Linked DNA regions of Ovis aries. The protein of the gene in region 7 interacts with the protein of the main gene of each other region in a pairwise test. Links are inferred from orthologs where the notes say so. Each region holds a gene or a part of one and is shown on either strand. Other genes may lie near its edges.

Evidence for each region.
Region 1: the proteins of NDN (region 7) and E2F1 interact in a two-hybrid assay, tested with the Homo sapiens proteins (2 studies listed by BioGRID). The link is inferred for Ovis aries from reciprocal best matches to the Homo sapiens genes NDN and E2F1.
Region 2: the proteins of NDN (region 7) and FXR2 interact in a two-hybrid assay, tested with the Homo sapiens proteins (2 studies listed by BioGRID and IntAct). The link is inferred for Ovis aries from reciprocal best matches to the Homo sapiens genes NDN and FXR2.
Region 3: the proteins of NDN (region 7) and LAX1 interact in a two-hybrid assay, tested with the Homo sapiens proteins (2 studies listed by BioGRID and IntAct). The link is inferred for Ovis aries from reciprocal best matches to the Homo sapiens genes NDN and LAX1.
Region 4: the proteins of NDN (region 7) and MKRN2 interact in a two-hybrid assay, tested with the Homo sapiens proteins (2 studies listed by BioGRID and IntAct). The link is inferred for Ovis aries from reciprocal best matches to the Homo sapiens genes NDN and MKRN2.
Region 5: the proteins of NDN (region 7) and EID1 interact in binary tests that used the Homo sapiens proteins (3 or more experiments, as listed by UniProt). The link is inferred for Ovis aries from reciprocal best matches to the Homo sapiens genes NDN and EID1.
Region 6: the proteins of NDN (region 7) and GKAP1 interact in a two-hybrid assay, tested with the Homo sapiens proteins (2 studies listed by BioGRID and IntAct). The link is inferred for Ovis aries from reciprocal best matches to the Homo sapiens genes NDN and GKAP1.

The regions. Positions count from the first base shown.
Region 1 is NC_056066.1:63,140,864-63,144,797, reverse strand, and holds the start of E2F1 (transcription factor E2F1), read left to right. Parts: upstream 1-1,134; 5' UTR 1,135-1,267; coding exon 1,268-1,528; intron 1,529-3,934. UniProt on the Homo sapiens protein: Transcription activator that binds DNA cooperatively with DP proteins through the E2 recognition site, 5'-TTTC[CG]CGC-3' found in the promoter region of a number of genes whose products are involved in cell cycle regulation or in DNA replication.
Region 2 is NC_056064.1:27,152,552-27,156,790, forward strand, and holds the start of FXR2 (RNA-binding protein FXR2), read right to left. Parts: upstream 2,801-4,239; 5' UTR 2,433-2,800; coding exon 2,352-2,432; intron 1-2,351. UniProt on the Homo sapiens protein: mRNA-binding protein that acts as a regulator of mRNAs translation and/or stability, and which is required for adult hippocampal neurogenesis. Specifically binds to AU-rich elements (AREs) in the 3'-UTR of target mRNAs.
Region 3 is NC_056065.1:1,326,322-1,330,621, forward strand, and holds the start of LAX1 (lymphocyte transmembrane adapter 1), read left to right. Parts: upstream 1-1,500; 5' UTR 1,501-1,740; intron 1,741-2,070; exon of another isoform or gene 2,071-2,076; 5' UTR 2,077-2,180; coding exon 2,181-2,269; intron 2,270-4,300. UniProt on the Homo sapiens protein: Negatively regulates TCR (T-cell antigen receptor)-mediated signaling in T-cells and BCR (B-cell antigen receptor)-mediated signaling in B-cells.
Region 4 is NC_056072.1:56,485,697-56,489,196, reverse strand, and holds part of MKRN2 (E3 ubiquitin-protein ligase makorin-2), read left to right. Parts: intron 1-3,159; coding exon 3,160-3,304; intron 3,305-3,453; coding exon 3,454-3,500. UniProt on the Homo sapiens protein: E3 ubiquitin ligase catalyzing the covalent attachment of ubiquitin moieties onto substrate proteins.
Region 5 is NC_056060.1:59,480,019-59,483,399, reverse strand, and holds EID1 (EP300-interacting inhibitor of differentiation 1), read left to right. Parts: upstream 1-1,153; 5' UTR 1,154-1,196; coding exon 1,197-1,772; 3' UTR 1,773-2,881; downstream 2,882-3,381. UniProt on the Homo sapiens protein: Interacts with RB1 and EP300 and acts as a repressor of MYOD1 transactivation. Inhibits EP300 and CBP histone acetyltransferase activity.
Region 6 is NC_056055.1:35,911,045-35,915,176, reverse strand, and holds the start of GKAP1 (G kinase-anchoring protein 1), read right to left. Parts: upstream 2,801-4,132; 5' UTR 2,675-2,800; intron 2,623-2,674; exon of another isoform or gene 2,533-2,622; intron 2,098-2,532; 5' UTR 1,963-2,097; intron 1-1,962. UniProt on the Homo sapiens protein: Regulates insulin-dependent IRS1 tyrosine phosphorylation in adipocytes by modulating the availability of IRS1 to IR tyrosine kinase. Its association with IRS1 is required for insulin-induced translocation of SLC2A4 to the cell membrane.
Region 7 is NC_056071.1:620,230-623,651, forward strand, and holds NDN (necdin), read right to left. Parts: upstream 2,131-3,422; 5' UTR 2,043-2,130; coding exon 1,065-2,042; 3' UTR 501-1,064; downstream 1-500. UniProt on the Homo sapiens protein: Growth suppressor that facilitates the entry of the cell into cell cycle arrest.

The DNA.
Region 1 (3,934 bases), on a different chromosome or scaffold from region 7:
GTGTTCCCTGGAAGAAGTGATATTTATATGGGGCCTAGGGATCTCATTCTTGACTGCGTCTTAGTGTTTTTTTTTCCCCTGATGGGTCAGTCCCCACCAGATGGCAGGCAAGTTCATAGAAATCATCAAGCCTTTTGCATCTCTGCCCTTAGTGCTGGCACAGAGCCTGGCATAGAGGAGGGGACAGTACTGCTCAAATCAGCTGATCTGAGCAATGAGAAATGGCTGATGGAGAGGTCCCAGGGCCTCCGGATTAAATGCATTTTCATGCTCAGCATACTCACCTCCTCCCTTTGTGAGATCTAACATGGAATTAATAGTGAAAATTCCACATCATGTTGTAAATGCTTGTACCTGTTTCTCTCTTCCCTTTTTCACTAAACTGTGAGTTCCTTAGCGCCAAGAGTCAAGAATGGGGCTTAGAGCCGGCTCTCAAAACGTTTGTTGAACGAGTGAATCAGTTCACGCAGAAGTTGTGCATAGGGTACTGGAGTTTCCAGCTATAGGAGGGCTTGTAGAAAAGCCCAGAGCTGTATTGGTCCAGATATCCCTCCCCGTTTTCTGACAGCTCCCTTTTGCTTGGGCTCTGGGTGAGAGGAATAGGGTGGGCACACGATTTGAAAGTGAACGGCTTTGGTGACGGAAGTTGAGGGAGAAGTGGCCGGAGCTTGGAGGTGGGCCTGAGAACCGAGAAGAGAGGAGGGGCAGTTTCTAGAGATCTGGCCGAGAGTGTCGGGGCCACAGGTGAGAGTTATCGGGGTCACGTGGGGTCTGCTGACGTTGAGATATGCTTAATGGACATTCTGTCCTCAACTTACAGGCATCGGCCAGATGGGGGTGCGTCGGGGAGGGGGTGGGGCCACCACTCCTCGGACAGGGGCCGTCCCCTCTGAGGGCGGGGAGTGCGAACGCGCCTGGCACCGCCCCGACAAAGCCTGCGCGCGCCCCGACCCCCGATTGGTCGTGCTCCCTCGCGCCGCCGCCCCGTCCCGCCCTCCGCCGCCGGACCGGCGCGCTGCAGCCAATGGGTGACGTCGCCGTCGCCTCCGTCACAGTCCGGGCAGCCAATGGTGGTAGCGCTCGGCGGCTCGTGGCTCTTTCGCGGCAAAAAGGATTTGGCGCGTAAAAGTGGCCGGGACTTTGCAGGCAGCGGCGGCCGGGGGCGGAGCGGGATCCGGAGCGGGATCTAGCCCTCGCCTCGGCCTGCCGCCATGGGCCCGCGCCGCCGCCGCCGACTGCCACCCGGGCCGCGCGGGCCGTGAGCGCCATGGCCGTGGCCGGGGCCCCCGCGGGCGGCCCTTGCGCGCCGGCGCTGGAGGCCTTGCTCGGGGCCGGCGCGCTGCGGCTGCTCGACTCCTCGCAGATCGTCATCATCTCCACCGCGCAGGACGCCAGCGCCCCGCCGGCCCCCGCCGGCCCCGCCGCACCGGCCGCCGGCCCCCGGGACCCTGACCTGCTGCTCTTCGCCACGCCGCAGGCGCCCCGGCCCACACCCAGCGCGCCGCGCCCCGCGCTCGGCCGCCCGCCGGTACGGACATCAGGGACACTGGGCTGAGTGCGCTGCCTTGGACCCCTGCGCAGACCCGGGCGGGGCGCAATGTTTGGCCCGGCGGCAGCGGGGGCGGGGGAGGGTGGGCTGAGGCGTCCAGGCTGGGCGGTGCCGAGCCTGGGTTGGGCCTCGGGGCTCCGCCCTGGGGTGCGGGGTGACCTCGGGCCAGTCCTTGTTTGCTGCTCTGTGCTGTGGGCCTCAGCTTCCTCGCCGGAGCAGACTCAATGATAATAATGGTCCACGTGTATTCAGCTGTCGCTGACTGCATGCCAGGCCTTTGGCTGACTTCAAGGCAGCTAAAACTCACATCCATGCTGTGAGCTCGGTGTTGTCACTGTGCCCATCTGAACTGTGCCCAGAGACGGGAAGTGGCTTGCCCCCTGGTCACAAGGCTGCAAGTGGGATTTAAACTGAGGCCTTCTGGCTTCAGACCATAACTTGTGGCTGGGTGGTGGGCATGGCTGCTTGGGGAGGTCAAAGTGGGGTGTTCTGGGACCAGTCCGTAGAAGAGCCATTGAGGAGACCCTCCTTCCTGCCTCTGGGACTGCCAGGTGCAGGCCTGGCCCTCCGGGCCTCTGGGGACAGGCTGCCTGGCTGGGAGGCCTTCTCTGCAGGGGCGGGGGTAACTGGGCCAGCTGCTGATCCCCTCCCTCTGCCTGTCCTTCCATCTGCCACCCTCCACCCTCCCAGGCCCTGGTTGCCATGGAACCTCATTAATCAGGCAGGCAGACCCCCGGGCCCCAGTGGAAGTCCTGGGTGGGCTAGGCCTCTGGGAGCTGGTGAGGAGGCCCCCAGTACCAGGAGAGAGTAAATGCCCCAGGGATATCCCTTGATAAAGTGCTCCCTGCACAGCGAGAGGCTAAAGACAGTTGAGACTAGGGGGCCCAGAGAGGTGTCTGAATTAGGAGGTGGGGGGAAGGAGGGGGCGGAGGCCTAGAGCTTGGTCCTGTGGGCTGCAGGACAGGGCGTGGAGACCAGTTTGACTGGTGCAGCCTGTGGGTAAAGTTAGGGCATGGATGGGCAGGCAGGATGGGGTCTCAGCACAGTTGGCTGAGCAAGTTGAGGCAGGGAGGCAGGGCCCAGGGCAAGGAGGTGGAAGCCCAGCTGCTGATGGAGGCCTGGGTAGCAGCTGGTCCCTGAGACATCCCAACAAGGTTCCCCCGACCCCTTTGGCCCCCTGCCCAGTACATCCTTCCTTCCGGAATCACTGAGATGCTAATAATAACAATAGGAGGCACCATTGTTTTGAGACTGTTTTGTGAGTTAGGCCATGTGCCAAGCACTTTACCCAATTAACTCATTTAACCCTGTCAACAGCTTTCCCGTTTTACAGATAGGGAAGCTGAGGCTTAGAGATGTTAGAACCTTCCCTGGTGAGTCAGCTCATGAGTGGTGGGACCAGACCAGATTTCCTGAGTGGTTAACTGCTGGCATGCCTTACTTCCTGGAGATGCTAATAGAGATTGTAGGAAGCCCAGGGTCCCTTCCTCCAAATGAGTGAGAGGGAGGGAAGTTGCACAGGGTGGGTCCCCTGATTGGTCTCCTATACCCCAGCAACCTGTCCCTGCAGGTACCAGCTTGGAGCCTGATCGAGTAGCCTCCATTTAGCTGATGGACAGGTGCTTAGGCCCAGGTCCTGCCCTTGGGCAATGGAGCTTCAGGCTTAGAGGGACAGCCAGGGACTGGGATCAGGAAGTTTGCCCTCTGCTCCACACCCAGGGTGTCAGGGGCAGCCTCACTGGGTCTGAGCATTCCATTCATTCAGCAGTTGTTAGTGAGTGCCTCTGAGGTTCTAGGCACAGGCACGTAAAGAGCCTCTGCCGTCACAGTACTTAAGGGCTAGTACGTGTTTTCTGCCGTGAGCAGGAGTAGGGCCCAGTACCACCTTGCTGCTGTAGTTCAGAAACATGGGCCCAGCTTTTGCTGTGCAACACCTCCTAACATTGTACCTGTGAGTAGCCACTGGCTATCTGAGCTGTGGCCTCCACTCACCCTCTGCACTAGCATTTGTTTGGGGGCAGTCCTTGAAACAAGCTACAGGCTCAGCTTCTGCACAAGTGAGCATTCATTGAGTACCTCCTGCCTACAAGGCTCTGTGCAATTCAACCATTCCTCCTGGCTCTTCCGGTCCACATCTCCCCTGTTGTCATGGCTCTTAAAAAACAAACTGGATGTAATGCATATTTACTATGGAAGAGATGCGAAAGTTGAGGGGGACAAGATCCCCAGCCCCATCCATTTTTTCTTTTTTCTCTTCCTGTGTTCCGATAGCACATCATCCCCACTTTAGAGACAAGGCAGCAATTCCTCATGGTCCTCACCCTGATACCAAGGTTACTCTTGAAATGGATTCTATAATAATACAAACTGAAGCAGAGAAAGTGG
Region 2 (4,239 bases), on a different chromosome or scaffold from region 7:
ACCACACTGAAGTCTGCTGAGTCATGAATATTAAATCAGCAGCAAGGTCAGATTCAGTAAGTATATGGCACTGAAAGTTAAGAAAGATTACTGAATTTAAGGATGTTTTGTTGTTCAAATGAGACAAGGAGCAGAAAATGCTAAAGTGGCCAAAATACAAACTCCATATTACCTGGCTTTTAGTTGAACTCCAAATTCTATTCTCTGATTCAAAGCATCCTATCTTTGATTCACTGAATCAAGTCTATCACTGCCATATAGCCCACAGGAGAAAAGAGAAAGATTCAGAGACAGACTTTCTACTTGACACTTATATGTGGAAAGGGAAACATGCCCCTTCCCAGCAGTCTCACACGGTTAATTCAAACTGGATACTGATCTTTCCCATGCTTCCTGGAACAAAAGCAAACATTATATCTTGATCTCAGACTCAATTTAAGAAGCACTTTCTTGGGGCTGGGAAGGACCCTGATGAAGGACAGGATATTGTGGGAAATTAGGTTAAAATCTTATGAGAAAGGGTATTTCAACAAAGGTAAGCAAGCCTGAGGGAAAAGGATATAAGAGACAAATGTACTCTATCAGAATCAGAAAGGAATTAAGAGACTTTGCCAAAGAAAACAAATGGTATGGAGGCATGCTAGAGAAAAAAGTCCCATGAGTTAGGAAAGTATGTAGAAAAAGAATGAAAGAAGGGGTAAATTGGGAGCTTCCTTCTTCCATGTTAGCTGGGTCATGGAATAGGTAGTTTTGGGGGATTATGCAGAAATACTAGGATAAAAAGCCACAGACTTAAATTGAGAAATTAAGACAGATGAGGTTACGCATAGGCAATGAAGAATATAAAGAAATCTGGTGAGGGGAAGTCAGGCAGGAATGAATAGGCATTTAGAGTGGGTCAAAGATGACCACTGAACTTATCAATTGAAGCTGGGGCAGAAACCTACTCCAAGGGCTAATATGAGACCCTTTCCAGTTATAGCAAGATACGACTTCACAGGGAAGGAAAGTCATTTCCAAGATACCAAGGTGGAGAGGTCCACTACGGGAGGAAAGGCTTGAGGGGAAGTGGAGGAAAGGGGGCTCTTGTCCTCACAAATAATGGATGAGGGCAAAATGAGAGAACAAGTCAGGAAGCAGGAAAGTCTCTGAGACAATCCCAGGCATAAAGCACAAAGCGGTTCAAACTAACAACATAACAACAGTGGCAAAAGAAAAATTCCTGAGAGGCAAGAGGGGTCTCCCTCTAGCTTAATATAAATGAATGGGGAAAAAAGTGTCCTAAAAAATAGATTCAGGGGACTTCCCTGGCAGTCCAGTGGGTAAGACTCTGCATTCCCAATGCAGGGGGCATGGGTTTGATTCCTGGTTCAGAAACTAAGATCCTGAATGCTGCACAGCCAAATAAATGAATATTAAAAATGTAAAGACAGTCCTCTTCTCCTTTAAAAAAAATAAATAAATAGACTATTGGGTTTCCAAATTGGGCAGGTTGACCAAAAGTCTTCTAGAAGTGGAAATCCTTAAGAAAAAGATAAACAGAAGTAATCCTCATGAGATCTCATTTTAGATAGAGAGTAGGAGTATGAAGCTCACACTCCTCAAAATGAAGAAACTATATGAATGATTTGAATGTATGAGGTCAACGTGAGATGACAAATACAAAACCATCCTCCAGTAGAAGAGCAGACCAACTAGCCTTGGAAATAAAGGGGTGGGGTGAGAGAGACTTGTGAAAAGATGCCACCTTATGGCTAGGAGGCAACTAGACTGATACAGCCCAGAGTTCCTGAGGTCAAAGATACTAAATGTCATAAACAGCTTCTGACCGTTTCTCCTTGGTGTGGGAACAGAAATATAAGATGAAAGTGGAGTGAGTCTTTCAGAGCCAGTAGGCAGAGGCCTCTCCGAGGAAGATGAAAGGATCTAATATGGGACGGCTTTCCCAAGGGGGTAATAGGGGAGAATAAAGAGAATTCTCCATGTGCTTGGACTGTGGGGAAGAGGTGATTAAGATCCAAGGTATGCCTTCTATTAGGAGACAGGAAAAGTCAATAAGACGCTAGGGTAAATGGGGTCTCTCCTGGGGGCTGCGGGGGCGCTGATCCAAGCACAATAATGCCCTGATGTTCATTCCCAGAGATGCGGGTAAAAGCAGGTGTAACAGAGGGGCCAAAAATAAGGGGTTAACTTCCAGAAGTCTCCCCCAAGGAGGGCCGCGGGTGGGATCGTGGGTCCAAGGTTCTAAGGGTCAGGGCTAGCTCCAGAACCTCGATCCCACCCCACTCTTCCCCGTTCTGGCTGGAGGGAGGGGGCTGAAGACCGCGTCCCTGGCCGGCGCGCCGCCTCACCTTGTAGAAGGCCCCGTTGGAGCCGCGCACCTCGACGGGCAGTCCCGGCTCCACATCCCCCCCCGAAGCCAGGCCGCCCATGGCGCCGCCACCGCCTCCGACTCCCCCGGCGGCGGCTGCAGCAGCGCTCTGAGTACGGGCCGGGCCAGGTCCCCGGCGTCTCCCTGGAGGAGGAGCTGGAGGGGGAGCCGCGGGGGGCGGGAGCCGGGCCGGCCCCACGGCGGCCCTGCCACAGCCAACGAGCAGGGGGCCGGGGCCGGGCCGCTCCCCGTCCGCCGCCGCCGCCTTGGTCTCCGCCACCGTGAGGAAAACGGCCGCCGCCGCCGCTGCCTTCGTCACCTCAGCTTCCGCCCGCCGCCGCCCCCGCTGCAGCCTCAGTCCCGGGACCCACTGCTGCCGCTGCCTCTACACGGCCTCCTCCTCCCTCTGCCGCCGCCGCCACCTACTGCGCAGACGCACCGGGCACCCGCCCGCCGCGCGCGGGCCCCGAGGGCCACGGCGCACGCGTCAAGGCTGGCGACCCAGCTCTCGCTGGCCAGCGCAGCAGGGCTTCCACACTCCTCTTGCCTCTCTCACGCCCCCTCCTGGTCGCTGATTTACGCTTGCGCAGAACCAAACTGACTCTCTTTCTTCGCCACCCCACCATTCCACCGCCCAGTCTCTGCCTTTCCCCGCCCCACAACACAGAGAGCTAACCAATCATGGGGAGGGAGGGGCCGAGCTCACTCAATCGGATTGGGCTTCTGATGCTCCTTGGTCAGGCCACACCCACTTCACGGCTGTGCGCTCCACCAGGCTTGGAGAAGTTAGGGACGGGCATGCGCCTGAATGATTGCTTGGTCACTTTCTCCACCTTTGTCTTTTTGGTGCGCACGCTCCGGGGCGGGAGGCGGGGGGAGGGCGCGGGAAGGAGGAGTCGAAAAGCAAAAATGGGCCTAGTGCGCGTGCTCTGGGCCTTACAGTCCACATGCCGGTATGGACTCTTTTGAGTGTTTCTGTTTCTGCGCGTTAAGATTTAAATTAAGAGTCACCTTCTTGCCTTGAGAAGATTCTGATCCTGCATATGATGAAAGGTTAAAGAAAGATTTCAAGACACTACCGAAAGGCAAATGCAATTTGGCACAAGATTATTATCTAAATGCTGAGAGATTTCAAAATGGGAAAAATTGTTAGAGAAAGGATAGTTGAGGGGAAGCTTAGGATTCATAAACTAAGTAAGAAATTTAAGTAGAAGTGAATAAAATAGCCAAGAAATTAGGATCATGTGTGTGCAGCTAATCATTTAGCCAATATTTATTTAGCCCTCACTGTGTTCCAGTTACCCAAAACAAGGATTTTATGATATATTGGAAATGGCGCAGACAATCACATTTAAGTAAATAAAGTGATTAGAGTTCATCTGAAGATGTGTTAAAGATGAGGACTAGGATAGAGGGAATCCCAAAGACACAAACAATGGTCAGTTGCCCTTCAGCATGATAGGGAAAGACCACTACAGGTGAGGTAATGCAAATTGAGATTTGAGGGATAAGTAGGCGTTTGCTAGAGGAAAAATGCAGTAAAACTATTTTTGAGAGAACAAGGAATAAACAGTGCAGAGGAGCAGAAAAAAACAAAACATGTCCTTTGGGGAACCACAACTAGTTCAAATAGCATTTGGCTTGAAGTAGGGAAGCTAAACTGTGAAGCACTTATAAATCAGGTTAAGGAGAATGGCCTTCACTTTATCAATACTACGGAGTCACTGAAAGATTTTAAGCTGTAGTGTAAGTGCAGTGGCTCAGCGGTAAAGGGTCTGCCTGCAATGTAGGAGCCGCAGAAGACACCGGTTCAATCCCTGGATCAGGAAGATCTCCTGGAGATGGGAATGGCAGCCCACTCCAGTATT
Region 3 (4,300 bases), on a different chromosome or scaffold from region 7:
ATTTTCCACAGTTCATTGTGATCCACACAGTCAAAGGCTTTGGCATAGTCAATAAAGCAGAAGTAGATATTTTTCTAGAACTGTCTTGCTTTTTCTATGATCCAGCAGATGTTGGCAATTTGATCTCTGGTTCCTCTGCCTTTTCTAAATCCAGCTTGAACATCTGGGGGTTCACGGTTCACGTATTGTTGAAGTCTGGCTTGGAGAATTTTGACTATTACTTCGTTAGCGTGTGAGATGAGTGCAATGGTGCGGTAGTTTGAGCATTCTTTGGCATTGCCTTCCTTTGGGCTTGGAATGAAAACTGATCTTTTCCAGTCCTGTGGCCACTACTGGGTTTTCCAAATTTGCTGGCATATTGAGTATAGAACTTTCATAGCATTATCTTTTAGGATTTGAAATAGTTCAACTGGAATGCCATCACCTCCACTATTTTGTTCATAGTGATGATTTCACACTCCAGGATGTCTGGCTCTAGGTGAGTGATCACACCATCATGATTATCTGGGTCATGAAGATCTTTTTTGTACAGTTCTTCTGTGTATGCTTGCCACCTCTTCTTAATGTCTTCTGCTTCTGTTAGGTCCCTACCATTTCTGTCCTTTATTGAGCCCGTCTTTGCATGAAATGTTCCCTTGGTATGTCTAATTTTCTTGAAGAGATCTCTGGTCTTTCGCATTCTGTTGTTTTCCTCTATATCTTTGCACTGATCAAGTGGTTAAAGGCAACACCAGAGCAGTTAGGTTTAAAACACATATGCGGTCACCAGGAGTGAATGGTTTTCTTCTACTATCAGGACGAATTGCTTCAGACACCTGGTTTCTGTTTTGAGTGGTTGGTTTAATTGGTTTACTGTGGCGAGGGCAGGGGTGCAGCCAGAGCCGGAAGACCCAGAGCTCAGTCTGAGGCCTGGGAGCCTCCTGTGAGGAGGCTGTTTCCCTCAAGCATGGGGGCAGGAGAAAATAAGAGGGGATGGAAGACTTGGCTGACTCAAACACGCTGTGTAGATGATAAGATCACACAAGGGAAAACCTTGAGATGGTCGCAGGCAGGGGGACGTTCTTCAAAATTTTGTTAAAGCAGCTGTCGAGGTTCTGAGGTTTGGCTCTGTCTGCTTCCCCATCTGCCGTCTTCCAGACTGCCCGTGCGCATGCCGTCTGCTCTTGGCACCAGGTTTGGGAAACCCTGCACCCACGGAGCCAGCCACAGGCACCCAAAATCTGTATTTGTTTCTAAAAAGCACCTTCCAGTGCTCCTCAGACGCTGAAACAAACACTGTCAATCCGGAGGCCGATAAAACTCAGTATCACAGAAACCCAGGGGGAGCAATCACACACACCCTATCACCTTGACCCCTCTTGAATCACGCTCCCCGCAGACCACAGCGCATCAGCCAGCCCAGGCAACAGGGTGCAGGCGCCCTTGCTTCTATCATATTGAGAGCTGAGCAGCACTTCCTGGGCCCCAGGCTTCATCAGCACGTCGGTGGTACTGCTTCCTGTGGCTGACTATCTGTTTCCATTCTGGCAAAGTGTTTGCTCTCTTCTCTCTGCTTTGGGGGTTTGGGGGAGGATGAACTTCTCAAGGAGCCCGTCTCTGCCCTCTTGGCCGTCTCCCCCTCGGAGCCCCGCACGTCCCCGCCACAAGGCAGAGCGTCTGGCGTCCCCCTGAGCCGAGCTGGGGAGCTCCACACCCAGAAGCGCTCTCCCCTCTTGCAGTCAGCATCGCAGCCACAACCAGGTAGAGCCAAACTTGCTGTTTTGTATTTTGGGTCAAGTCAGCCTGACATTTCAGGGATAGACGCAAGGTAGAGTTGGTTGTGGGAGAGAAAGTTCTAGAAAGAAAGACTGGAAGCTTTAGAAAGGGAGAAGTAAAAACCAATAGACTTTTTGTGATGGATTTTGATAAAGATTTAAGAAGATGAAAATTTGAGAGTCGAGTTGTATGTCAAGGAAGGTTCAGAAAATGGAGACCAGGAGGATTTCTGTCATTCTTCTTTACTAAAAAAAAATGCTTATACTAGATGGGATTATATGTAAAAGACAAACCAATTCTGCCTTTTCTCTTGAGAGTCAGCAGTTTAGGAAGAGACAGGAAAAGTGGCAAGCTGACTGGCAAGCTGATGACGACTAAGAGAAGGCCTAGGAGGAGAAGCTGAAGCCAGAGAGGGTCGCAGAATAATGGATGCCACCACGTCAGCACAGTCGGAGCCCGCAGGGAGAACCTCAGAGCCCAGCACTCTGCGGGGAACCCTCGGCAGCCTGAACAAGTGAGTGCCAGGGGCGGTGAGCGCTCCCCTCCCCTGATTTAGAAAGAGGGTCCTGGTCTATCCTGGGGAGCTTCTACCCCAGCAGCCTTGCCACCCCTCACCAGGCTCTCGTTTCCTAAGACCGCTAAACTCTTGGCTCAGAGAGGTTTGCTCAGAACTGCTGGGAGGAAAGGAATAGGTATTGCGAACAGAAAGGAGTTGTTGGGAAGAGAGGAAATATGATAACACACCACTTCCTTAGAGCTGGCTTCCTGGCATGGCTGGGTTTCTCATGCTCAGAGGCCCGCATGGCGGTCCTTGAGCTTTCCTTTTTCAAGTCCCACGGATCACTCCTCAAAGAAACAGAAGCAAAAACCAGTTTCTACTCTGATGGAAACAAACGGCCCACTTTTTACACAGATGTGCTTTTACGTCCTAAACACTTGCCATGAATGAAAATGGAATCACAGATATGATAAAGACACAGCCTTGGATCATAAAACCCCACAGCATTAATCATAGATGTAAATCTTACAGTTAAAACCTTCAATATTATATTAACAAAAAGTCCATCAATACTTGAAACTTTGACACTGAGAGGTATTGATTTCAGTGCAGTGATAAAAGCACAGCTCAACAGCAATAAATTAAAAATCACTGTAGTTTGGGGAGGTAAATGTCATTACCATGATAAACAAATACCTGTCCCCTGCAGGTGGACAAGGTCGTTGATGGGGAAGGAATTCATAAAGTGTCAGAATCCTGCAGCACTCCTCCAATACTATTTCTACATCCATTCATTTGATAATTTATTCATTCATTCATTTAACAAATATCCATCAGGTTCCTACTGAGTGCCAAGCACGGTGGCAGGCACAAGGTGAATAGGACAGACAAGGACAGCCTCCTGGAGGTTACAGTTAAGTGGGAGGGTCAGATACAAACAGATGAACAAAAGCATGGCTAGCATAACATCAGTCAGTCGTAAGCTATGAAGAAAAACCAGGGCAGAGTAAGGGGACTGGAGGACCCAGGAGGGTGTGACTAGGGAGGACCTATCTGAGGAGGTGACATTTCAGAAGAGTCCTAAATTAAATGAGGGGATTGAACTGCGGGAGAGGGAGCAGCGAGACTGAGACAAGACTGTGCTTTGCTGGAAGCAGCATGGAGTCCTGGTCATCAAGGTCAGAGGAAAATAGTAGGAAAGGAGGTCAGAGGCAGGCAAAGGCAGAAGAGAAGAGGCCGTCACATTCTCACCTGTTAGGGACAATGGATGCTATCCCACGTGTGATGAGAAGTCATGGGGGGTTGCAGAGGGGGCACGTGATCTGATTTAACCGTTCAGAGGATCACTCTAGCTCCTGTGTGAACATAGTATGTTGGGGCCAAGAGTGAAAGCAAGGAGCTCATTAGAGAGGTTCTGGCAAAGGTCTGTGTGGAACTAGTGGTGGCTCAGACCGAGGTGGTGGCAATGGAGGAGCAAGAGGTGATGCTTTGGGGTACATGTCCCGGTTGAGCAGATAGAAACTGCTGGTTAACTAGCAGTGGGGTGTGAAAAAGAAAACATTCAAGAATGGCTCCAAGGGTTTTGACCAAGCCATCAGATGACAGGAAACACCAGAGGAACAGGCTTATGGGGGGTGGGGGAGAACAGGAGTTCTGTTTTAAACATTTTTGGTTTGAGATGTCTATTAGGTTACTACATGGAAATGTCCGGTATGAAACTGGGTGAACAAGTCTAGAACTCATAAGGACAAAAACCTTCCCTGATGGATGACCTGGTTTCTAGCATTTGGAGGGGCAAGTCTGCTAGTGATGCACTCTGTAACCTCAACTGGCTGCTTCCTATAGCCAAAACAGAGCTAGCCTGGCCCTGCCCAGGAATTGCGAACAGCCCGGTCCTTACCCAGCGCATCTGCATGGTCAAATTCCACAGCAGAGCAGAGTGTTGCTTGAAGACCAGCCCCACAAGCTGATGCTACAGGGATTATTAAATGCAAGCAACCTGGACTCTTGTCCCAGAGCTGCTGCTTAATTGTAAGTGGATAATCT
Region 4 (3,500 bases), on a different chromosome or scaffold from region 7:
CACTGAAGTGGGTTGCCATTTCCTTCTCCAATGCATGAAAGTGAAAAGTGAAAGTGAAGTCGCTCAGTCGTGTCTGACTCTTCACGACCCCATGGACTGCAGCCCACCAGGCTCCTGTCCATAAGATTTTCCAGGCCAGAGTGGGGTGCCATTGCCTTCTCTGTTAGGATCTTACTAGCATTCTTTTAATCAACTAGTTAAGCAGAATTGCCCAGTCTTACCTAAGAGGTCTTTAACGTAAAGTGTTAAGACAAAACAGTAAAGTAGTATCTGGTTATCTTACATTAAAAATACTTAATTGCTAATGCAAAGCAAAAGAACATGGGGAATGAGCACTTCGCTTTCTCCAGCAGGAGGAAGGGGGCCGTTGTGTTCACATGCCTAGAACATGTGAAGGAGTCTATGGAATGGCACGCTTCGATAGTCTGGATGATGTGAACCTGCATTATCCCAGAGTGGTTAACTTCCATTGTAAAGCTGAGAAGACAGATCTATCTGCTGGACACTTAAGGGCGTAGCAGACAGTGCTCTAAGGGCGTTTCGATGTGGGATATTACTTACTTAAGCAAGTGAGGTACTTTTCTGCTTGCAAGTAAGCCTCCTGAAGTTCAGAGGACACTGGCAGTATCAAGAGGTAGGCAGACTTACAATACAAGCCAGGCTTTTGGAAGCCAGGCTTTTGGGTAATTTACAGACTTATCAGATGATACTCAGCTAATCATTCAAACCAGTGGAAGGCCATGGCGCAAGTAACTCTAACAGGTAGTCTGGGATTTTTCACCTGGCTCTCAGCACTGTAGCGTATGTTTTGTTTGCATTAGGATCAGTTTTAGAATGTTATTCAGCACACACTAAACAGCTTCCAGTGTCTGACCTCAGGAGAATTACTGCAGATCGGTGTGCTCTAATTAAGTCAACAAGAACTCACACCATTATCTGTTAGATGTTATCCTCAGAGACCGTATAATTCAGCTTAGAGAAATCTATAAAACAGAAAATAATCTCAGACCATCATCTTCCAATTAAGGGCTAAATATTGTGAGAGACCAAAAATGCTAGAGGGTTTTATTGTCACATGTAAGCATTACTGTTAGGAACTGACAGAGTAAATCTAGACCATCGTTTCACCACGTATTTTTTCTGCAGCCGATAGACGTTTTTATATTGCCCACTCAGTTTCTTTTTCTCCCCTCCCTGCCACCGCCCCGCCCCCCACACACACACAATCTTTTTCTCTCTCTGTTCATCTTGAACACCTTTCAGAAGCAGCTGCTTTGAAACCCTTGTCATCTTGAATGTAGCCTCCAGTGTGAATGGGGCACCTTTTACTGATTCTTCTTGTGTATCATCTTGTATTTTTAGCAACCAGAATGGTGGGGAATGACAAAGAGCCAGCGACAGACCTTTCCTCACCTCGAATAGTGGGTTTCCACCAACTCTGTCTTAACGTTCTTCAGGCCACAAAGACATGGCTTTTCCACTGGAGTTTTAGCTCCCTTGCCAATGTATTTGACTGGGGCCTGCTCTAGGTTGAGCACTATTATTTCTTAAAAAGGTGACTCAACCTCTTACCATTCCATTCTTCCAGGTGTCTATAATCCCTTGAAAAACGCTGCTTTTGTTCATTCTTCATAAACTAGAAATACAGATATGATTAAAAGACCTGAAGGCACTAGTTTATCTGCAGAAATGGTACTAAGATCAAAACTAGCTCCTTCAAGTTACTGAAGGCTTGAGAGCTTATCGATTTACCTCCTGTGGTGGTCCTGTGTGTCCACCAGAGGGCAGGAGCAGCAAGGCTGCTCTGCTGCAAGAAAGCTCTGCTGCAGCCACCTGAAAACATCCCAGTACAGCCGTTGGGTTTCATGGCCTCGCTTTCTGTGGATGAGTGTTTCTGTGCATTGCACAGATTTTACTGAGTTGTGGGTCCAGCCCCTTCAAGCTAAATGCCAGTGTGGGAGAGCTGGTAAGAAATTGCACGGGAAGTTACGCGAGGAGTTATGTAGTCCTCATGGCACCTGGCCGTGTCAGGAGAGCAGGATGGGGTGGGGACCTTGAGCCGGACGCGTGAGCAGCCTGTGTGTTGGGCTTGTGGGGTCAGGTGGAATGACGGGGGTGCAGATTTTGTTTGGGGAGGAGTCCCTTGGGTTAAAAGAAACGTGGGAAGATGTGGCATTTACAGCAACACAGACACAAGTCCTGAAGGGCCTCAGCCTGGCTGGGGTCTTCAGGAAGAGGACGACAGGGGATTCTGGTCACAGTCCTGTCCGAATTGAGAGGAGGGTCGTCTGGGGAGGTGCTCTGTAGACTTGGTGACCAGATAAGGCTGGGGAAAAATCATTTTAGGGTGGGGACTAGAGTCTAGAACCTCTAGAACCTGACACGTTTTGAAAAGCCAGTGTCCCAGAGACCCTGGTTAAGAACCCCCGGCTTGGGCGGTTCTTTGAGGACCTGCTCAGAAGCTCGGGAACAGGGGGCCACGGCCCCTGGGTGTGGGTCAGTCCTGTGGGAGGCCGGCTGTGGGGAGCTGGGCTCCGGCCAGCCTCACTCTCTGCGTCTTGTCATCTGGGGTCGGGCTTCATCTCTTCACTTTCTCCAGACACCTTCCGGCTTCTTGGGCATCTCTTCAGCTTGGGATAACTTTGGACCACAGATTTCATTTCAGTAAGGAATGTGGATTGTCTGTCTGGTTTTGAGTTTCAGGAGCAGGATTTTTAACAGAGATCTGTAGCTAGAAGCTGAAGATGGGGAAAGTTTAACTTTCCGACTATATTTTGTAGGCGCGCAGGGGTCTGTGGCCCAGAGTGAAGAAGCCCTGCTCTGGAGGGTGGGACCAAGGGAAATCAGTATGAGACCCGTAACGCAGCTGCCGAGGTCCAGGCTCCCGTGTTCACCTTGACATGACTGCTGGCTGGGAGGACGGGGAGCTTGCCCAGGTGGAGCCAGTGCTGGGACCCTGGGCTGAGATGAGTGGCCCAGCTTCAGAGTCTTGGCCGAACGGGGCTCCCCGGGTGCGTGAGACTCCGCAGGAGGCTGTGCAGCGTGGTGAACCACCAGTCCAGCGTGGAGATCGGCTTCCAGCGTCTCTGAGCCTCCCTGTCAGCGGAGGAGTGGTTCATCTGCATCCAGGTTTTGACATTATCCTCTTCTGCTTTTCAGGAAAAAAGCTTGTAAATACTTTGAGCAAGGCAAAGGGACCTGTCCATTTGGAAACAAATGCCTTTACCGTCATGCTTACCCTGACGGGCGGCTGGCAGAGCCTGAGAAACCACGGAAACAGCTCAGCTCCGAAGGCACCGTGCGGGTGAGGACTCTGCCCACATGTGGGCATTGCTGGGGCCACTCCTGGCCTCTTCAGGGCGTTGGCCACAGGGATGCCAGTGGAGTCTCAGCGACTCTGCTTTCGCATTGCGGTTAGCAATAACCAAGCATGTCTGCTGGCTGTCTTTGCAGTTCCTTAACTCCGTGCGGCTCTGGGATTTCATCGAAAACCGAGAGAG
Region 5 (3,381 bases), on a different chromosome or scaffold from region 7:
TGCTTTTTTATAAGTTGAAGGCAATTATGTAAGACGTTAAAAATATAAGATTTTTCCATGAGACTTAAAAGATTCACATAAATGCACGGGAAAAGACTTACAGAACACACAGCAAATTAAGTGTAAAGTCACCTCCTGCGGGGGACAAAAATGGGCCCATGTATTTCTTCTCTGCATATTTTTTAAAGAACACCAATAATATGCTTATTTGTGATTTAACATTTTTTAAATGAGAAAAATAGAAGAGAGGGATGGATGAGTTCTTAATATGCTGATGTATGGCTAAGAACACCTTGTGGTTTTCAGGTGCAGATTTAGCGGTTATTAGCGAAGAGATAGGAGAAGGGAATGGCAACGCACTCCAGTACTCTTGCCTGGCAAATCCCATGGACGGAGGAGCCTGGTAGTCTGCAGTCCATGGGGTCACACAGAGTCGGACACGACTGAAGCGACTTAGCAGCAGCAGCGCAGAGATAAACTTAGTTAAAACCTTGGAGCAGAAGCGACTGCCTGGGGATGGAGGTAAGAGGAGCGGCAGAAAGAGGAGAGCGAGAAAGGAGAGGGGCGAGAGGGGAGGAAGATTAAGGGGTCTTCAGTTCAGTTCAGTCGCTCAGTGGTGTCCGACTCTTTGCGACCCCTGGACTGCAGCACGCCAGGCCTCCCTGTCCATCATCAACTCCCGGAGTTTACTCGAACTCATGTCCATTGAGTCGGTGATGCCATCCAACCATCTCATCCTCTGTCGTCCCCTTCTCCTCTCGCCCTCAATCTTTCCCACCTTCTGTAAGGGGTCTTACAGAAGGCATATAGAGTATTTTCAAGTTTATAGCCTCATAAGCAGCAGAACGGTTAGGTAAGGTGCCAAGCAATGCACAGCCCTAGGTCTGAAATTCGAACGCACGGAGCGCAGACCACCGAGCACTGGGAATGTCCCCCAGAGGGCGATGGGGGGCACTCAGTTCAGTTCAGTCGCTCAGTCGTGTCCTACTCTTTGCGACTCCATGAATCGCAGCACGCCAGGCTCCCCTGTCGATAACCAGAGCCGCGCTCTGAGCAGGAGGCGGTGTTTGGGGGTCGCGCACACGCACGAGGTCACGCAAGCGCACGGCGCTTGCGCAAGCGCACAACCGCACGCCCGCGTATATCCGAGCTTGTGGAAAACGAACGAATTGTGGGGAGGTTGCGCTGCTTGCACTATGTCTGAAATGAACGAGCTGTCCGAGCTCTATGAGGAGAGCAACGATCTGCAGATGGATGTGATTCCTGGTGAGAGTGACCTTCCGCATATGGAGGTAGGCGGCGGGAGCCGGGAGCTATCCCCGAACCCCTCCCGCGCCGGGGCCCCGCCACAACTGGAGGAGGAAGGCCCAATGGAGGAGGAGGCGACCCAGCCAATGGCGGAGCCACAGGGGCCCCGAGGCCTCGCTAGCCGGCCCAGCCCTGGGGAGCAGCCAGGCCAGATCGCGGGCCCTGATTTCGAGAGCGAGGACGAGGGCGAGGAATTCGATGTCTGGGAGGACGACTATGACTATCCTGAAGAGGAGCCGCTCAGTGGTGCGGGCTACAGAGTTTCAGCGGCCCTTGAAGAAGCCAACAAGATGTTTCTGAGAACCTCCAGAGCCAGAGAAGCAGCTCTGGATGGCGGGTTTCAGATGCATTATGAGAAGACCCCGTTTGATCAATTGGCTTTTATCGAAGAGCTTTTTTCACTTATGGTTGTCAATCGTCTGACCGAAGAACTCGGCTGTGATGAGATCATTGACAGAGAGTAGTTAAATGCTGTTAAGAGAGGAGGAAGCTGCTTGAGGAGAGACCCAACATTCCACTGTCTTTTGAGTTCATTCCAAATAGTTCTGTGCCAATGAAAAACTTAATCTTCCCCCCCCAAAAAAAATTTTTTTTTTTTTGCTGAGTAGAATAAGGTAGTGACTGCACAGTTATGAAAAAGAAAGAAAATTGTTAAAGAAGAGTATCTTAGTACTGTTGAAACCTGTTTTCAAGAATGTCCAGAGACACTTATGGCTTTGACTTTGTTGTTTATTCAGAGTAATTTCCTTGCATTGAGGAAGATAATCTTTTCATGTTTCACTGTAAGGAATGGCTTTGCAAGAATAAATTATGACCAAGACAGACTGCCAGTACCAGAGCCCACTGATGATAATTATATGAGAAAAAGTAACTGATGTATCCATTTTAGGACATAAGATGTCTTTGAGTTATTTGGACTGAAAGCATATTGAGAAAACTTTAAAGATTCAATTTTGTGATCTATCCGAGCTGTGGTTAAGGCTAAATTTTAAGTGTAAAATAAATCTACCGAGTATTCTTCAGTATCTCAAAGGATAATCTAGACCCAAAAGAAGTATGTGTCTTGTGTGCTATTAAAATGTGTTTCCAAGAACAACTGAGATTTTGTTTGTACATATATCTTGATCATTTTTAAAGCTACTGTAATCTTTAATTCAAGAAAATTCATTGCCTTGAACATATTTTAAAGTCAAAACTTAAGACGTCCTTAATAAAGTTTCAAATTTAGACTGTAAAATGTACATGAAGGTACAAAGAACACAAACTCTTGAAACATCTGTATATACTAGAGAATTTTCTGTTTCACTTGCTCTCTTTTTTTCATTTAACTTTACAGGCAAAAGACTCTGGTTGAACTTCATAATGTAAGAACTGTTAAATGAACATTGTCCAGTAAAAGGAAAGCCCTACATCTAAAAAAAGACACTATGAACAACCCTTGAAAGTTTTAAAGGGTTTTCTACCCAGAAATCCACCTCACTATCTGAAGTTTCCCTCTGTCTCCTCCTCTAATTAAGCTTGCTTTTGGTTATGCACCAGCATTCAAGATAATAAAGATTTCTTGTTCTCTGTATTTTATTTGTTTGTCTAATTGTATAATACTTTCTCTAATTCTACTTTTTATTTGCTATACTGTTTGATTGTGTGATTGCAACCATTTTATGATTTAAATTTAATGACTTATATAAGGGAAAGTGCTCCAGCTTCAAATACCGGATTACAAATTAATTGGTGTAAATTAAACTTAGTAAATTCCTATAAGAGAATTTGCCAAGCTGGGAAAACCTGCCAAATCAGTAAGCATCTCATGGTGGTTAGTAAGATGCTGAAGTTCTATGAATAATATAATTAGAAGGCTGTGCCCAGTGAAACTGAGTATACCAGCATGTCTTAAGATTAGTAAAAATGTACCAGATGTTTTTGCTGCATTATGGCAGTAAAGGATACATCCACTATAATAGGACAACTCAGAGCCTTACTTATGTTGCGGTCATCCTGTCTTTTAGGGAAGGGGGTTCTTTTCTGTATAATACAGGGCTGACAAGGATGATCATAATTCAGACAAAGCTTGGC
Region 6 (4,132 bases), on a different chromosome or scaffold from region 7:
CCATAAGATCTTACAGAAAAACCTAAAGGAACTTTTTGGCCTACCCAGAATTTGTTCCTCAAACTCTTGCTCAGGTGCTAGCATCTCTAAAATGCTTCTTCTAACCTGCCTGTTTAATCGTTTCCTCCCCTGCAATATTTCTGTACTTTTTATTTACTTTTATTACTGGATAGATTTAATTAAAATTATGTTTATTGTGCCCAGCTCTTTATAATCGTGATTTCAACATCCTGAAAGGCAAGGGCCTCTTCTTTCCATCCCCAACAAAATCACAGGACCTGGCACACAAAAGATATGTTTATTGAATTTGGTTTTTTAAAAAATATTTACGTTCCCCAAGTACACAGGTATCTACACATTCAAAGACCTGCTCTAAAATAGAATGTAGCAAAATGCAAAGTGCACTAGAGATAATCCTCAATTCCCAAAATGCAAATGTGAGTTAACAGTGGTTATTAGCAGTTCAAAGTTCCAAGTGCCATTCTACTAACTCATCATCACAACTAATTTCGTTTAGAAGGTATATTTATTCAGGAAACAGAACTGGTTTTAAAGCATTAATTTAAAAGAACTAGAATACACCAGGAGCTTAAGTAAATACGTTTTTTAAATGAATAGCCTAAACTTCAAGAAGCAGGTTTCATAAATGGCTGAGCCTCTTGGGTTCCTCTACCAAAGTTCTGAGAAAAAGTGCCACTATGATATTATTCTTCTTGACTATGATCATTCTAGGGTCAAGAAAGATGGTAGCAGTAGCCATCCTTCAGTCCAGGGAACCATAATTAGGGCACTTCAAAACTGATATATGTATACGCTCGTCAATCAAGAACAACCAAAGATATACCTTTTTATAAAAACAATAGTGATCTTCCACTAACATAACCAACCAGTAAGCCTGGTGAAAAAAGAAATGAATACAGTGTGGTCTCATTGAAAAGTAGCTTAGTTTTAAAAAACAAAAGCCATAAAATGAAATGGCACTGAGTATGAGTGACTTAATATCTGGTGAAAATTTTTTATTGTATTTTTTTCATGTTCTGTTCCTCAAATAAGGCAACTACACAATATCTTTCATTTTGGCGTCGTATAAACTAAGGTTCACAACCAGTAAGTGCCAGGAACATACCCAAACTTTGCTTTCAACGAACTTAATACAGACATTTTTTTCCTTCATAGTTCAATACTGTCTCCCGTCTCTAACCTGAAGCATCTAATTTCTGTGGATTGAAACACCTAAGCAAAAAGTCCACGCAGGTACTGAGTGAGGAACTATGGGATTCTCCCATGAATAAAGCACACGTATTTTCATTAGTCCCAATGATCTCTTCCTGCTCAATTCTGAATTCTTCACTCTTTATAGAGTGAAGCCACCTGATTGATGTCTTATAGCTAAGTTTGTTGTTAACAAGTAGGACATCATCTTCCATTAATCAGGATCTGACTAATGCGAGCTTATGTGTTATGAACTTGTTGAGAAAAAAAAATTCTGTATTTCTACAGATTTTTTATATTTTTAATTGCCACGAAGTTTAATATTCGTATAGCCGGCAAGTCGAATTTATTAAACTCACGATTCAGGTTACACTTACAAGCACGTTTACTATGTAAAGAAGCAGACAATAATGAAAAGTGTAGAGAATATTTCCGTGGCTGTCCAGTAGAGGAAAGACGATTTTTCTCATTACTGCTTCTAAGGAAAGCCATAGCACTTACTCAGTTGGAGACTCTAGGTAAAGTTAAAAATGAAAAATCTAAAAGAAGTTGGAGAGAAAACACAATTTAATAAGCCATTTACTGTTCAATATCGACCAAAACCCCTAAGTGTTAGAGATGACAAAATTTCTGGAAGACTGCTTATTACAAACAGTAACTGCAAAAAAAAAAAAATTCAAAACTCTTCTCTGTTTTCAACAGCTAGCGGGAGAAGGAGGAGCACTTTATTCAAGAAGTAATTTACTATACCTCATGCATGAACGAAAGCCAAATTTCACCCATAGGCTGTTAACCGATGCTTCCAAACTTACTCTCGCAAAGTACAAACGAGAAAGAAACAGGGCTGGGAGAGACCGAACTCTGGCAAAGAAGCGGTTTCAAAACCTGCAACGGAGAAAAACAGCGAGTCGGGTCGTTGCTCCAGAAATTTCTGAGCGCCCGGCTTCCCGGGAGGGAGAGCGAAGCCCGCGGCGGGGAGGGGGCGGCGGCACCTGTCACTCGGCGGCCCCGCGACCGCGGTCGCCCCCTGGCCCGGCCCCCGCGGGGTCTCGGGAGGCGCAGGCACCGGCGGTGCGCCCGGGCCTGGGGTCGGCGCGGGTCTCTCTCCGCCGCCCCCGAGCTGGGCGCCTAGGGCCTTCCTGAGGAGCGGCCCTCCCGCGCACTCTGCCCAGTGGCTCCGGCCAGCGGGGCCCGTCGCCTCAAGCCGAGTCCCCAACTGCCGAGCCGGGGCGCCCGGAGCGGCGCGGCCGGGCCGCCACCACTGCCTCAGGGGCGCCGGAGCTGACCCCCCGTGAGGCGGCCCGCCCTCCGCGTACTCACCGGGCCTCCCCGGCCGCCGGCCCGGTCGTCCTCTCCCTCCTCCCCCCGCCGCCGCCGCCGCCGCTCCGCGGCTCCCGGGGCGGCCGCACTGGGCGTTGGGACTGCGCTGGGTCAAGTGTCGGGGGCAGGGGCGGGCTCGCACCGAGCAGGGGTCGCGCGGCGGCCCCGCGAGCGGGCGCCGAGCACTAACGGGCCCCCGGGGCGTCGCGCCGGGCGGACGGCGGCAGGGAGCGCGGCTGCGGGCCGCGGTGAGGGGCGGAGAGAGCGCGGCCGTGAGCCGAGGGCGGGAGGGAAGTCCCGGCTGAGGGGGCGGCGTGAGAGCCGCGGGGCGGAGCAGGGGAGGGACCTGGCGCGCCCGCCGCCGCGCGCTGGGGTTTGTTTATTTTCTCGGTTGGTTGCGGCGCTGGCGCGTGGGTAGAGGTTCGCCGGTGACGTGAGCGCCCAGAGTTGGGGGAAAGGACCAGAACCACCTGCTGGAGAAGGGGAGCTACGGGGGCCGGGCAGGGTCCAAACGTCTCACGTAGGCGGCGGCGCCGCGGTCTTCTGGGTTACCGGGAAGGGGAGAGCTTTCCCGGAGTGAGTGGGAAGGAGGGAGGTCTCCCGAGAGAATAGGACTCCAGGCCGCTCCCCCGCAGGTCGGCGGCTTCACCTGCATCGCGGAGAACTGAGAGCCCTGCCGTGGAAGGAGGCCCGGGGAACATGGGGGCCCGAATTCCCAGCCTTTCGGGGGCCCGACCTCCGGTCGGTTAAGTAGGGATGGTCCTGCAAACAAGATTTGAATAGAAAGGCTGCATCCACTCTCTGCAAGGAAAATAACGAACATGGATTAGTTTTCTGTAGAGTTATCTCCCTTAGTGTTCCATCAAGTAGTAGGATTCCCGTTGTCCAAGCCAAGTTAAGCGACTTAGCCAAAGCCTCACGTCTAATAAATGGCATAGCAGGAACCCAACTGTCCTGACTTCGTATTCTCTGCTGCTTACCGTGGCACACGTTATCTTCCTAAATCACTTTGATTTCAACTAATAGTAGATGCCCCCATAGGTAAGACGCTGCAGAGTTACAGAGGGAAGTTGAAGATGTTATCCTTGCCTTCAGAATAAGGGATAAAACAGTTATACTAAAAGATAAATCATGATAGGTGCCACGAGAAAAATACAGAGTACTGCAGAATATCAGGGAACTGCTCAGACCTCTCTGGGAATGAGGAAAGAAAGGCAGTAAGGAGGAAAAGGCATTTGGGATTGACCTTGAAGGAGATAGGGATGGTTTTACAACAAGAAGAGATAACATGAGAACATATGTGAAGGTGAATTAGTGAAAGTAATGTTAAGAAAAAGCAAATGGTAACATTCTAGGGCATGTTGAGAAGTGGCAGACAGCGAGGAGAATGGGGCCTGGAATGCTAAGTGTAAGAATTTGTCTTTAAAACATTACTTAGTTTTCGTGGTTTAAAAGATTGGAGGTTTACAACAGGGACCTACTGTGTAGCACATGAAACTCTACTTAATGTTATGTGACAGCCTGGAGGGGAGCGGGGTTTGGGAAAGAGTGGATACATGTACATACATATGGCTGAATCCCTTCCTTGTTCACCTGAAAG
Region 7 (3,422 bases):
AGTCTGGGTCCAAACCCTAAAACTAAGCCTCTCCTCCCAGGAAGCCTTTATGATCCAGGGAAAGCTAATTATCTGCTTTATTTCTGTATTTCCTCCACGGTGCCTGCTTCACAAGGCTATTGTGAGGATTAAAGAGAGAAAATATATGTAAGGGTTTAGTACAAGGCCTCTCTTAGTGCCCACAAAAGACAGCTATTATTTTTTAGAAAATATGGAAAATGTAAGAGGGGCAATTACTCTAAATATCAGCATTTGTTATTTCTATATAATGTGATTATGACCCCTGTTTTGGTTTTTGCACTTCTACTTGTCAAAGCTTTGATATGAACTTGTGAATTCCTTCCTGAAAATAAAACTATGCCCTTTACATATTTATGAGTCATGATGAGTACTGACATCCCCGTCCTATTAGATGAAATAGTTATATCTGTATACTTTGTAATTCCCATTCCAAACCCATAATATTCTGTTAAGAAGATAAAGTACACTTTTTCCATGAATGACTGTATCACAAGAATCTTTAATGTTTAAAGTTTACTCATGGTGAGGTTGTATCTGTGTTTAGTAAAGTGTGCCCACATTGAGTCTGTTTCAGTTCACATCACCAAACTCCACAGGGATGTTTCCCGTGCCCAGGCAGAGCACAAAGACAGGGGTCAACTTTTCTCTTGGTTAGGCCAGCTTTTCTGGGGAGTTTTTCCAAACTCTGCAAGACCAATTTACCCCAATACACAGCCTCCGTCACACGTAAAAGAATATGGAAAATGCCTCAGTGTATTTCATAAGTTTAGCATGTCTCTGGTACAAAAAATTCAAGAAAGGTAGCACAAAAGCGAAAGCACCAACTGAGCTTAATTACAAACAACCATGCATGAATCCTATACACTAATATTACTGAAATGAACACAACATTGCATTAAGAGGTATAAAAGCACTGTATGGAAAACTTAAAAGTTACACGTGAAATACTGCACTGTAGATCCTGAATACTCTAACGTCCCACACTCCCACCCTTCCTCCACCCTGGTGAGGGGCAGAAAACTTCCATCTGCCTCCAGACCTTGCTAGTCCTCGGAGACACTGTTGCGGGGGCAGTGGGCAGTGGGGTGGGCCTCCCGCAGGGCTCTAGCCTCTTCCAGAGCCTCCCTGTAGCGGGAAGGCCAGGCCTGGGGGTTTTTCTTAAAGACCCTGGCCAGGAACTCCATGATCTGCATCTTGGTGATTTCGCGGCTGGCACGGGAGCCCCAGAAGAACTCGTACTCAGGGGGCTCGACATGGGGGACGCGCTGGTACTTCAGGTAGTTCTGCTGGACGAACTCCTCGGTGATAAGCTTTCTCACGTCTCCGAAGGTGGAGTGTTTCTTCCAAGGCCTCAGCCCCAAGATGCGCAGCACGTTCCAGACTGCACTCTCTCGAGCGCCGCGACCCTTCACGTAAATGAGGCTCAGGATCATCAGCAGGAGGCCCGTCATCGGCATGCGGTTGCTCAGAGCGACCCTGTCCAACTCCTCTGGCTCCAGAGCTTTGACCAGCGAAAACTCCATGGTGTGCAGGCTGGTCAGCCTCAGGTGCAGCCCGAACACGCGTGCGAGGATGAGGCTGGTGCGCCGAAGGATGCTTCTGCACCACTTCTTGTAACTGCCGATGACATCCTTCACCATGTCTGGGAACCAGATGATCATCCTCTTCTGGTCCTTGACCAGCACGTACCACATGAGCTCGTGTGCCTTCTGCACCAGCTGGGCCGGGGCCGGGGGCGCCGGGCTGAGCTGACTTGTGCTCGGGGCCTGGTGGGGACGGCCTTCGTCAGCGGCCTGCTGCAGGGCCTTCGGGTCTCCCTCTTCGCCTGGAGCCTGGGAAGGCAGCGAGACCAGAGGGGCATCAGGCGGGCTTAAGGGAGGGCGCTCTGGCTCAGTGAGTGTCGCGGCCTGAGACCCCGGAGGAGAGGGCCCCCCGGTAATGCCGGGGCTGCCGTGCACCTCGGAGTTGGAGGCCTCGGCCGCAAAGTTGGGGTCGCACACATCCTTACTTTGTTCGGACATATCTGTTCGGTCTCGCAAGAGCAGGGCCGCCGAGTCCGAGAGCTCTTCGAGTCTGCTTTCCCTCCGCGGACTCCTGGAGAGGAAGTGCGCATTGCTGCGCGCGGCGCCTTCCGCAGAGGCCAGGCAGGGCGGGGCGGCGGCGGGCCGGGCCAATGCGCCTGCGCGTCCGCGCGCCTGGGGCCCGGCAGTCGAGTTGGCGGGCGGGGCTCCTGGTGGGCTGCAGGAGGGGGCTAGGAGGCCCCCAGTAAGCATAGAGGGTCCGCTAGAATATGGGCCTCAGTGATCACACCCCCTCCCCAGGTATCCTGTTATGGCTAAGGAGGAGTTCTTGAGGAGGAGGGGAGGGAGATGGGTGAGCACTGGACAAGGAGTCAGTTTAAGGGACAGATGGCAATTTAAGCTTCTGAAATGCTGAAACTGAACTTTCTTAGGAAGCATTTGATTAGGTATATCCAAAATCAAGTTAGAGATCAATCCAAGAGTAAGAACTAGGCTGGTGTGTCAACTAGGTTTCAGATCAGTGTGAGAATTTAAACTGAGAGAACAGCCAGGATTGCCCAAGAAAATATGTCAACTCTGAAAAAGAGAAGTCGCTTAGTCATGTCCGACTCTTTGCGATCCCATGGGCGTAGCCTACCAGGCTCCTATGTCCATGGGCTTTTCCAGGCAAAAATATTGGAGTGAGTTGACATTTCCTTCTCCAGGGGATTGAACCCAGGTCTCCCGCGGTGCAGACAGACAGTTTACCCTCTGAGCCACCAGGAGAACTAATTGGACAAATTGGAATTCTGAAGAATAACAACAAAAATTCATTGATTTCCTACCGTATGGAAGAGTTTTGAACAAGAAATGCAGAATGTTGTCAATCCGAGTGTGATCGAAGTTCTCTTGAAGGCAATATAATAATGACTTTGTTAGTGTTTTAATGGTCATTGATTTTGGTTTTTCTATTCCATTGGATAATTTTGATGTAAATTTTGTTTCATTAGAATCCCCTCACACAAAGATTATATTAGCATAGACTCATAGGATGTCTTTCCGCCTGTTTTTCCAGGACCTTCCTTTTCTTTATGACTGTTTCAACCTCCGCTTTTCTTCCTGTGGAAACTTCACCTTCTTAGAGCACAACATCCCCATCTTCCACAGATACTGAATAGTATCACATGCAAATCCCTCCCAAGATACTTTTTTTTTCTTTTTTAAATTAACCTAGATCCCCAAAATTTTCCCAGATAACAATTGATTTGAGATGTAACAATTGGTGGTTGTATATCAGTTTTCAAATTTAGAAACCAAATCTGCAGTTTTGTTTGAGACTGTCAACAAAAACAAAGTTGACAGTCCCAGAGGTGCATCCTTTAAAAAAAAAAATTGGGCACA